3 linked regions of the Canis lupus familiaris genome follow. Each later gene encodes a partner of the first gene's protein in a complex. Links are inferred from orthologs where the notes say so. Each region holds a gene or a part of one and is shown in the gene's direction. Other genes may lie near its edges. The genes, in order: MAP3K20, AKAP13 and MAP2K3.

Region 1 (4,197 bases):
GGCAGAGGGGGAAGCAGGCTCCATGCAGGGAGCCCGATGCGGGACTCGATCCTGGGACTCCAGGAACAGGCCTGGGCCGAAGGCGGGCGCCAAACCACTGGGCAACCCAGGGATCCCTGATAATTTAAATAACAGACTAGAGAGTGGTGTTTCTAGCTTATATTCACCCATCCCTCTGCTTTCATGTTTTCAACCGACGATTTACGATGCTCTTTCTCCCATGACCTCTTTTCTGAGTCTCCGTTTCATATTTCCACGGCTGCATCTCTACCTGTTTTTCCTCCCATGACCTCGGACTCAGCAGGAAGCCAGCTTCTCCCCGACATATCCCTATTTCTGTCAATGACACCATCGCTCTTCCAGTCACCCAGGTCTGAAACCTTGGCATCACCTCTGACTCTTTCCTCCTTCTCTTCCACACCCCCAGCTTCTGTGGCCTCCTCCTGAGACAGGTCTCTCAATTCCATCCCCCCTTTCCCAGCTCCATTTCCTGCGCTGCTCAGGCCCGCACGACCCCTTGACCGGGTGGTGACAGTATTTACCTCCCTCGCTGCTTCCCAGTTTCGTCCTAGCAACGCATCCTGCAACCACGTGGCCTGCTCGCTCTCCCCCCCCCCCCCCCACCACTGGGCAAACACAAACACCTATTTTAACCCTTTGACTCTAACTTCCCGCAGTGCCCGTAGATGACCCAATTGCAAACTCAAACCCTTGGATGACGCCGTCAGCCCCTCGGCGACCCTCGCCCCACTCTTCCTCCGCAGGACCATCCCGCCCAGTCAACACTTTTCTTCCCCAGACTCGGTGCCACATTTTGCTCACGCCCGGAACGATGCTAGCGTCCTCGTCCGACCTCCGTTTAGGTAAGGTCAGCAACCAGGGAGGCGGGCCAGGACCCCTCCTCAACTTCCCCAGGTGTTTGCGGGCGGTCCCGCCGGGGCAGGTGCGGCCCTAAGCGCAGCGACGCCCCCGGGTCCGCGTGGGCCCACCTGGGGCCCGAGGCCGCGGGGCCCGACGCCGCCTGGGCCCGGCTCCCCCGCGCGGCGGCCCAGGGCGAGGTGTGCGGCCGAGGCCCGGGGCGCGGGGGCGCCTCGCGAGCCCGAGGGGCGGCTGCCGGGGGCGCAGGGCACCCCGGGGCGGGGCCTGGGGCGCGCGGGCAGGTGCTCGGCCGCCGGGGGCGGGGCGGGGCGGCGCGGGGCGGCGCGGGGCGGCGCGGGGCGGCCGGGCCGGGGGAGCCGCCGGGAGCCCGCCCGCGCTCCGAGGTAGGTGGTGCTGCGGCCGCGGCGGCTCGCTCATTGGCGCGGGCGGAGAGGCGGAATGTTCAACTCCTGACTCGGGCGGAAGCGTGGGAGCCGCGCGGGCCGCCGTCCCCCCCCCGCCCCTGCCCTCGCCGCGCGGGGCCTCGGCGCCCCGGCTGCTGCTGCCGCTCCTGCCGCCGCCGCGCCCCGCCCGGGAGCCAGGTAAGGAGCGCGCGGGGCCGCGGAGGCGACGGGGGGCGCTCGCCCGCACCCGCACCCGGCCCAGGCCCCGCCGGCCCCGCCGGCCGCCCCCGCCCCGCCCCGGGCCCGCGCTCCCGGCGGCCGCCCGAGGGCCCCGCGAGCTTGGCCTCCGGAAGGGCGGGCGCAGCCGTCGGCCGCCGCCGCGGCCCCTGGCCCGGCCCGCGCCCCCGGGGCCGAGCGCCCGCCTGGCCGCCGCCCACCCGGCCCCGGAGGCGCAGCGCGGGGCTCCGAGGGGCGCGGGGCTGCGAGGGGCGCAGGCGCGGGCGGCCCCGGGCCGAGGGCTGCGGGGAGGGGGGAGCCGCCCGGGCGCCTTCTGCCTCCGCGAGCCGCCGCCGGGCCTCCGCGGGACACCGAGCAGCCCCCCGGCCCGCACCCGTCCGCCGCCCCGGCCCCGGCCCCCCGCCCCCCGCCCTCGGCCCCGCGGAGGCCCCGCGGAGGCCCGGACAGCTCGCAGACCAACTTCAGCACGCCCGGCCGGCGACCCGGCTCCGAACTGCCGCACACGCACACGCACACGCACACACACGTACACACATATGCACGCACACGCGCACACATGCATGCACACGCACACACGTGCACACACAGGTGCACACGCAAGGCACTCACACGCACACATGCACGCACACACAGGTACACATGCATGCACACGCACAGGCACGCGCACACACGCACACACACGCACGCGCACACACACGCGCAGGACGCAGACCGCGCCGTCCGTGCCAGATGGCTGCATGCGTGTGTTCCCGCCGCGCCCCGAGAGGCCCGCAGAAGCCCGGGTGGGGAGGACTTCGTGCGGAGGTAGTTGTGTTAGTTTCTTCAGTAACGAAAGCGCCGGCGTCCGGGCCCGGGCCAGGGATCCGCCGCAGGCCGCTCTCGGCTGGGAATGTAGCGGGATCCACGTCCAGGAGCGTGCGAGGTGGTTGCTACCGTGGGTGCTGCTTTCAGCTCCGAGGCTGCGTGAGGTCAGAGCCCTTCTTGCTTCGCTGACCTCGGCTGAAGTGAACAGTCGGGATCCAGGGGATCCAAACCTACAGACGTGTTGAAAGACAAAAGCAAGTGATTCCAGAGAGTCCATGACTTTTGCTTGCAGTACAGGCCCATCTCCACAGTGAAATTTCACGTCGTTTTTTTGATTTTTCAAAAAAAAAAAAAGTCTGACGGATGCATTTTAATTATGGTTTTGGTCGTTTGCAGAGCCTTTGTTTAAAGTTCCTGCTACGGCCAGTGGGAGAGATTTGGGAGATTGCAAATGAACATGAATCCGGTTTGTTTGGAAAGAGCAAATTAAGAAAAAGGCCTCATAAAGCAATGTGTACAGTTTAGTCTCTCACAACAGAATTCCTACTATAACTTTTCTGGGAGGCTTTTTTTTTTTTTTTTTTTTTTTTTGACCTAGAAAATACTGTTTGAATCAAAAGTTACAGTGGTGATAATTCTAGAGTCAATGACCACAGTGCAATGGGAAGGATCCTTTTCTTGTCTAGGAAAGCAAAGAGATGACTGATCTCTTCGTCTTACTCTTTTACGGAACACATAAGACACATTAAAAAGAGAAAAGGAGAGAGAAATATCCAGATATTAAGCAGGAGGATTTGGATCTAAAAATGGATGGTCAAAGATCTTGGGAACTAAGGGACCTTCTTGCCAAATAAGGAAACTTGGCAAGCTGCACTGTGTATTTTAAGTTAGCACAAGAGTGAGTGTTATTGGCAATATATTGGCTGAGAGCCTATCTGGAATGAGCAGTGAAACTGACTTTGACAGGGCTACAAAACTATAAACAGGAGTTATGAGGAGCCTGGAGGATTAATCTAGTCAGAGAAAACACTGGAGAAATTACAATGATGTTTCATGAAAGGAGGTCAGACATACAGTGAAGCTATTTGTGTGGAGTAAAAGAGAAAAATGGACAGTTTTTAGAAGTTGTTAGATTCAGAGAAAAGAGAGGAGAGAATCAATGATTTAAAAAAAAAAAAAAAACCCAGAAAAAGATGTTTGTGGTGACACAGTACTTCTTGGAATAAGATAGCCTTGTGTCTGTATCCAGAGATATTGAAAATAAAAATCAATTTGGATCATTTGTTTTTCCATTTTATTCTACCCAGGACAGATTGACAGGGAGGGTGTCTTGTCTATCTAAATGTAATGGGAATAGCTAAGGCACCTTTTGGTCCTACTGCAGGGAAGATTTAGGCTACTTCTTTTGTGGCTATTAACCTTGCCCCACTACACACAAATAAGCAGAGTTCCAGCTGTGACCAGAAAACTGTACCTGTTAAGGGAAGAGAACTGTAAATGCTAGAGCTTAGATTGGTTTGCCTGATACATGGGTGCTTTTGTGTCAGACCCTCCTACAGACAGCTGAAGCATCGATTATGCCCTAATAGCAGTTAAATAATCCCAGCACAGTAGAAGATTCTGTGAGAACAAAGCAGCCTTGCATTGACACCCTAACCTCGCATCACAAATGCTAATAGGAAATTAAAGCCTCAAATTGAACTTTGGGTGGATAATAAGCAATCTAGTGATTACTGTATTAAGGAAACGGTTTGTTTAAGGCCAAAAAAAAAAAAAAAACAAAAAAAACCAACAGATTTTAAGGAAAGAGCAGAATGATAGAGTGGAAAAAAAAGACGTGGTGAAAAAAATGATATGACTTTGAAGTCAGACCCGAGTTTGAATCCTGGTCATG
Region 2 (4,387 bases), on another chromosome or scaffold:
CACAATGGAAGTGACAGATACACCCAGTAAGTACTCCCATACCCCTCTCTCAGTCCCTGGTGGTAAGCTTGCCTGGATTAGGGTTTCCAAAAAAGAAAGTCATGCACTTCTTTTCTTTCTCTCTTTCTTTCTTTCTTTCTTTCTTTCTTTCTTTCTTTCTTTCTTTCTTTCTTTCTTTCTTTCTTTCTTCTTTCCTTTCTTTCTGCCATATCTTGTGCCAATATTTAAAAAATGAACACAGACAAATACATGTGTAAACTGTGCAAAGTGCACTTAAGTGTAGAGCTGAATGAGTTTTCATGTTTATAACTTTGTTATCCAGCATCTAGATCAAAATACGGAACATTTCCAGCACCCCTCCTCCTTCTCAGCTAATAATCCTTCTACGCCTGGGTAACCACTGTTTTTAGTTCAAACACTATCAATTTGCACGTGCTTGCACTGCATGTAAGATGTCGTTTTTTACTGAATATTTTTCTTTAAATAGATTCTTTTTTTTTATAGCTTTCTATTTAATCTAAGAAATAGCATCAGTGAAATAACAGTCTGATGTGACAGGTATTTTTCTCCTAATGAAACACACTGAAGCACACAGACACAGACACACACACACACACACAACTATCAAAATGAAGTTTCTTCCATTGGTTAATGGACCGTATTTCGTTTCTCAAAAGCCTCCAGGAGGGATTCCCGGAGGAAATCTGCAACTAGCAGATTGTTATGATTTTGTGGTGATGGAGGAGCCAAAAGTTCATGGAATGCACTGTCACCATCCCGATGCCGCCAGCGAGCCATCGCTGCATCCAATGGTCCATCATCCATCGAAAACACTTGTTGCATACCTAACAATGACTCCCAGAGGCACTGACACGCAGAAGACGAAACCCCACGTTCTGGTTGCAAGTGGAAGGAAACAGAAAAGTTAATCATCTGACTATGTGTGTGGTTGGCAACCGCGGCAGCCCCGGTAAGCACCGGCCCCCAGAAGCAAGGCGGTTTCCGGAGACCCGGCGGAGAGGAGAGAGCGGCTGGGCAGCCCCTAGAGCAGCCTCGGCCAGCCGCTCGCTGCCTCGCTCCCTCGCTCCATTGGGGCGCCTTCCCCGCGGCACAGCGGCGGCGCTCACCCTCCGCCTTCCCTAGCAACCTGAACGCACCGCCCACCTGCCTTCCTATTGGCCTCCGGAGCTTGATGGGCAGCTCCGCAGCGCAATCCCACGTCGCAGCCCCCGGCTCCGCGCTTACTCATGGGAGGGCTCGTAGGCGTTGCCGCCCCCCGGGTGCCCCGCCCCTGCCCGAGCCGCCTGTGGCGCCTGCGCGGACGAGCCGGAGCTGTGTGCGGGGCCAGCGCGGAGCCGGAGCAGCCGCCGCGAAGCTCCCGGGCTCCGCCGAGACCGCCGTGCCCGCTCGCTCGCCGCCTCGCCCCCGCCGCCTCAGCCCCAAGCCGCCGCCGCCGCCGCCGCCGCCGCCGCCGCCGCCGGGCGAGCGGCCGCCTATTGTCCTTCCCGGCGGCGAAGGTGCGGAGCTGCTCCGGCTGGGCCCGCGGGGGAGCCCCGGGCGCCGCACGGTGAGAGCGCAACTTAGTTGGCGGAGTTGGGGGAAGTTTTGGGATTTGGGGAGGGGTCGCGGGCGAGGCGCGCGGGCCCCTCCCCCTGCGGCTGCTCGGGGGCCGGGGCCCGGGCGGGGGCCGGGGCGGGGGCCGGGGCGGGGGCGGGGCCGCGGGCGGGCGGGGTGGAGGGCGGTGCGGGGCGCCCCGCGGGCCCCCGCCTCCCCCTCGCGTCGCCCCCTCGCCGCTCATTGTCTGCTCCGGGCCCGCGGCGCGCCTGCCCGCTCCCCCAGCCGGCGCCGGTCCCTCAGCCCGGGAGCCGCGGCCCCTCAGGCTCCCTCCGGACGCCGGGCTCGGCGAACAAGTGCGGCGGGCGCGAGGGAGCGGCTCCCCGGGCCGGCGCGGACGGGCAGCACGCAGGGCCGCGCCCGCCTGTGGGGGGCGCCCTCCGCGGCCGCTCCCGGGCCGCGCGGGTCGGGGCCGGGGCCGGGGCCGGGGCCGGGGCCGGGGCCGGGGCCGGGGCCGGGGCGGGACTGCGCCGCGGCTCAGCGCTCCGCCGAGTTCAAGTGCGGCCATACTTGGAGACCAAACAAAACAGTTTTGGGGGGGCGGGGGGCCGGGGGGGGGCTTGCTATTTTTTTTTTTTCCAAAAACCACTATGAGAAGAGCTTTTTTTTTTCTTTTTTAATTATTATTATTTTTTTATGTGGGGAAAACCCTCAGGTTTTCTTCACCAAAACAGGTTTTTTGGTTTTTTTTTTTTGTTTGTTTGGTTTTGTTTTTGGAAATACGTAGTTTTTAACAGCAAAATGATTTCGTCACATTTAAGTTTTTTATTTTTATTTATTTTTTATTTTTTTATTTTTTTTATTTTTTATTTTTTTATTTTTTTTATTTTATTTATTTTATTTTTTTTACATTTAAGTTTTTTAAATGTTAACTGTGTACTGAGGAATTCACAATGAAAGTTGGATTGAGCAATATTTTGGTGTTCCATCCCAGCTTTTACACTCCTGGGTGAAGTTATTTTGGGAGTTTATCGCCTCGGGCATATACACAACTGGAGGAAAAAGCAGTGTGCCTTTTTATCTTATTCCAGTGCATTTCCACTCCTCCTCCCCCCACCCCCCCCACCCCCGCTTTGTTTTCTGAAGAACCACCTCATTCTTTTTTTCTAAACCTTTGGATTGCCCAGATGAGAACAAATGCTGCATGTAGTTTTTGAAAGACTTTTTTTTTTTTTTGGCAAGTTTCTAAAGGAGTTATGATCAGCTGAGATAAATCACTGTCCTAGTTCTCGTATTCCTTGGGTCTCTTGGTTTGGTTTGAAAAACCAACTTTCTTCACCTGATGAGGCTGAAGGATAGTGTCTGTATGGCATAGCACTGTACTTCTGAGCTACAACAACAAGGTCGCTTTTAGGAGTCACGGTTCTTGCTCTTAGAAGCTTGCCTTCCTGGTTGTGCAGTCGCGTGTGCCTCCTTGGGGTGGTCGCGTGGATGGAAGGGGCTGTCAGGGAGGGACATCACGTAAGCAAATGTTGCTTGCAACAGAATGTGACAAATAGGCCAGTGGCTTTTCTCCTCTGAGCTGTGATGCCATGTTATACATACTTTTGTTTCAGGATTTCTCACAAGCTTCATTTGTTTGCCTAATAGTGTATACGTTAGTATAAATGGACTCCTCCTCTAGACTGTTATCTCCTTGAGGGCTGTTGATGGGCTTTATTTCCTACTTAGCTTTGTCCCTTCTGCCGAGAAGGACTCTTAACGCAGTGCAGGTGTTCAGCGTATGTCTGAATTGGATGAAGTGCTTTGTACTTCATCCAAGCTAGTGATAGTGTGCATAGAACCACGGATTCTGGCAACTTACCCAAAATTGACAGTTCACTTGCAGATCTGTGATGAAATTTATTTTAAAAGGATTTCTAACCCCCCCTCCCTTTTTTTTTTTAGGGAGATTTTATTTGATGAGAGCGAGAGTGAGCACAAGCAGGGGGAGCAGGAGAGGGAGAATCCCGTTCCCTGCTGAGCAGGGAGCCTGATGTGGGGCTGGATCCCAGGACCCTAGGATCATGACCTGAGCCGAAGGCAGACATTTAACCGACTGAGCCACCCAGATGCTTGAAAAGAAGTGAAGTTTAAATAGTGCACTATGGATTTTCAAAAGTGTGGTTCTTGTTTTAGAAGTTTTCTCCCTTTTCTGATGAAATGATTAAGATTGCTGGACAAATCATTTCACATCTCTGCCTATTCTCTTGTGAAATTGGGGAGGTAGTACAGTTTTGAAGAATATATATTTTTTAAGGTAGCTAGGTACATTTGAGTTCAGCTCCCCATACTTCGACTAGTTGTGAGCCTTCAGTGGGTTACTTAAGTCCTCAGAGCTTCTGTGCCCTACCATACAGTGCAGTAATATATTTTGCAGTGTTCTGTGGAACATAGCTGAAATTATGTGAAGTACTTAATGGTGTGCCAGACATTAAGTAGATGCCTCTTACCTGGTAGCTGTAATGATAATAATTTTGATAACTTTAAATGTGATTTGAAGCAGTTTTAAAAGTCTGATGCTTCTGAGTTTAGTGATTTAGCTATTTCTTTCATAAACAAGAAATCCTGAGAATTGTCTTTAGTTGAATGTTTTTTTTTTAAGGAGTTAGTTGAACTGAATGTTCATAGAAACTGTTATCTTCCCATTAACCTTAACGGGTCTTTGGGATTTGCAGAATGGCTTGGGAGAATATGGCTGTGCATTTATAGTGTTTAAGAAATGGTGACAGATGGGTTGTTTTCAACACTTGTAGGATATCCGAGTTAGTCAGTTCTAGCTTTTCTACCTTAT
Region 3 (3,224 bases), on another chromosome or scaffold:
GACTAGCCAGGCAGTTCTTCTATGCCACCTGGCTCTGGCTGGGGTCAGGGCTGGGCTGGAAGGTCTGAGAAGGCTTTAGAGATGTGGGGCCTCCACGTGACTTCCTCCGGGCTGGCTGCCCGCTAGCTTCCTCAGAGCGTGGTGCCGAGGGTTACTGAAGTCTTGGGGTGCCTGGCTTCCATGAGAGAAGTGCTCTGAACTGCTTGTCCCAGGACTGGCACAGTGTCACTTCTAATTATGTTGGTCAAAGTGTCATAGGCCATGCCAGGGTCAAGGGGAGATAGAGGCTGTGTCTGGATGGGTACTAGCATGCACACATAGGAGAAGCTGTGTTGGCGGCGTAGGAGACTGGCTGCTATGGTGGAGGTTAGGTATTTCCCCCAAAAGTTACAAAAGTAATAGAAACATTCTCTAAAAACACAGAGAGAAAGTAAAAAGAAGAAAAAAAATCATCATGGTTCCATTCAAAGACACATAGCCCCTTCTCCCTACCATCGAGTGCCAACACCGTGCATTTCCTTCTAGACATTTTGCCTCTTTCTAAAAAACATCTATGGTTTTTATTTTGCTTTTCTCACTTAGCATCACATCACTCATGTTTCTCTGGATTGTTAGAAACCCCTGTAGGCATCTCTTCAAGGGACGCCACAACCATCTGCCACCAGCTACACAGCCAGTCCCTAATGTGGGACGTTTTATTTGTTTCTGTTTTTTTTTCCCTTCCATCTGAAATCCCTGGTTGACCTGGAGGAGTAACCTCTGAGGCACTGGGTGCCAGGCCTGCCCCTCTCGGTGGTTCTCTTTCAGAACCCCCGCCGGGTAGCCCTCTGTGGGCACTTGACCACAGCCACCAACATAAAGACATGGGATGATATTCGGGAAGGCTCTTGACCATAACAAGTATTTGGTCAAGTGCTGATCGCATGAATTCCTGAGTGGGGTCTCCGAGCATGGCCCTCATGGTCATGGCTGAGACTCAGCCGCCCCGTGGCAGGCCAGTCCCTGGTGCTGGGTGTTTAGACTGCTTCCTAATACTCACTGTTACGGATCACACCATACCATGCATTTTTCTGCCCAGAGCCTGTTTTGTTTTGTTTTTCATCTTTTGAGCTCATTAGAAAAAATTACCAGGAAAATGGATTACGGGGTCAAGAGTCTGGACAATTTTCTGTTTTCCTAATTGTAAGTCTGGTAGGACCCTAGGTCCTTTCCTGGAAACCCACACAGGATCCTAACTTGTGCTACTTGGAATCGGTGACAATTCTAGGAAACAGCATCCTGAATTTGTCCTGTGAAACCCCACACCAGATCACAAGCGTGCCTGCCGCATTTTGCACACCCTCCATCTGTGGGGTGTGTTTATATCTTGGCTAGAAAGGGGCCTTTAGCCTAATGGGAAGGCCCTTTCTTAGCACAATAATTAGTAAGCTGTTCAGGCGCCAGTTGCCAACACGAAGCATTTGTTTGAGCTGAGGTCTCTTGTGTTCATTATGGTGATTATGGCCTGTCAGTGAGAAGTCTCTCTGCTGTTTCAGGCGGGGGGCCTGAGCTGACCTGGTTTTTTTTTTTTTTTTTTAAACTCAGCAGTCAGAATCAACCCAGAGTTTGTTGTTAGATAGCTGGTATTTTCCACAAATGACTTCCCACCAACTGTAGGCAAGGCATGTGGCTAGGGGTCTGGCACGGGTGCAGAGGACAGGCGGCCTCAGTGTCCCCTGCAGGGAGTCCAGGGGGTCCGCAGGGAGGGGGAAGTCTTCCCGGAGGAGGGGGCCTTGGAGATGGGTCCTGCTGGCCACTGATGAGGGTTGGGGGGAGTAGAAGGAGCACCTGCAAACCTCAGTGTCTGATGGGGCCCCAGGGGGCCATTGCCAAAGTAAAGGAGCTGACCAAACGCAGGTCTCAGCATCTCCAGCTTCGGGGAGAGGCAGGCTGACGGGGATAATTTCATTTCCCCTTTGCCTGCTCTGGCATAATGACAACTACCCAAATAAACGGCAGCAGATACTTAAGACCCTGTGGAGACGTTAGGGAGGGGTGGCGTGTGGTGAGCGGGGAAGCTGCTGCCTGTCCCACACGCCTTTGCCGCCTTTGCCGACTGCTGCCCTGGGGGACTGTCAGCGCCTCTGATTTTTCCAGATTAGCTGGCACTTGGGTTTTTATGTAAAGCCTTCTGAATTTAGGTTGTTTGAAAGCCTGATGATGCTCAAACCAGTCACAACTCCGGGCTGGATTTGCTTCCTGAGCCAGTGTGTGCAGGCTGGGTCAGAGGAAGCAACGCTTGCTGTTCCCCCGGCTTTCATCTTCGTTTTGATGTCATGTGTCTGCCCCTCAACCTGCCTTGTGGCCCAGCTTTGGGTGGCAAGCCAGGCCAGACAGGTTCCCCAAATGCCCTGCTCCTGGGGGCAGAGTGTGTGCGCATCTGACCAGAGTTACCGCCCCCACTGCAGATTGAGATGGCCATTCTACGGTTTCCGTATGAATCCTGGGGGACTCCGTTCCAGCAGCTGAAGCAGGTGGTGGAAGAGCCATCTCCCCAGCTCCCGGCCGACCGTTTCTCTCCTGAGTTCGTGGACTTCACTGCACAGTGGTGAGTCTGCAGCCCTGCACTGGCTCTGAGACCCCCCCCCCCCCAAGCCCCAGGTGGCACCCTTCCCTACTCTGGCCCAATTCCAGCTCCTCCTGGTGCCCAGTCCCCTCCTCCGTTAGCAAATAACCACCAAACAGCATGGCATCAGAATATGCAAGGCATTAATAGAGCATAAGGAAACTGTGGCAAACTATGGTCCTTGGGGAGATTTTAATAGTCCTTCTAGAGACGGACAGACCAGGCAGCCAGGAAAAGAAAACAAAGAGCAGACGGGGGACTTGAGTAGCAGACAGAGTTGCTTTATTGACGCGTAGAACTTTGTACCAAGGTAAAGAATGCCCATGGGAGCTCTATTTAAAAAATATGTTTGAGATTGAAAAGGAAACAGGGAAAAGGAAGAAGGCAGAGTCATCCAGGTCATGTTCCCTGCCCATAATTACATCAAACAAGAAGTGCGTAACTGCAGAGGGATGAGATATGTGGTAATGCAAAGTAAATTCTTCTGACCAACTCTTGGAGTTGTTTTGTTTTGTTTTGTTATTTTAAGATTTATTTCTTTGAGAGGGAGGGAGAGAGGGAAGGGTGAAGAGGGGCAGAGGGGGAGAGAGAATCTCCAGCAGACTCCCTGCTGAGCATG

What was found.
Region 2: MAP3K20 (region 1) and AKAP13 share a complex: the UniProt entries of both Homo sapiens proteins name them as parts of the signaling complex. The link is inferred for Canis lupus familiaris from reciprocal best matches to the Homo sapiens genes MAP3K20 and AKAP13.
Region 3: MAP3K20 (region 1) and MAP2K3 share a complex: the UniProt entries of both Homo sapiens proteins name them as parts of the signaling complex. The link is inferred for Canis lupus familiaris from reciprocal best matches to the Homo sapiens genes MAP3K20 and MAP2K3.

What each region holds. Positions count from the first base shown.
Region 1 is NC_049257.1:17,648,637-17,652,833, forward strand, and holds the start of MAP3K20 (mitogen-activated protein kinase kinase kinase 20), read left to right. Parts: upstream 1-1,304; 5' UTR 1,305-1,460; intron 1,461-4,197. UniProt on the Homo sapiens protein: Stress-activated component of a protein kinase signal transduction cascade that promotes programmed cell death in response to various stress, such as ribosomal stress, osmotic shock and ionizing radiation.
Region 2 is NC_049224.1:49,483,980-49,488,366, forward strand, and holds the start of AKAP13 (A-kinase anchor protein 13), read left to right. Parts: upstream 1-1,455; 5' UTR 1,456-1,567; intron 1,568-4,387. UniProt on the Homo sapiens protein: Scaffold protein that plays an important role in assembling signaling complexes downstream of several types of G protein-coupled receptors.
Region 3 is NC_049226.1:42,970,410-42,973,633, forward strand, and holds part of MAP2K3 (dual specificity mitogen-activated protein kinase kinase 3), read left to right. Parts: intron 1-2,447; coding exon 2,448-2,587; intron 2,588-3,224. UniProt on the Homo sapiens protein: Dual specificity kinase. Is activated by cytokines and environmental stress in vivo. Catalyzes the concomitant phosphorylation of a threonine and a tyrosine residue in the MAP kinase p38.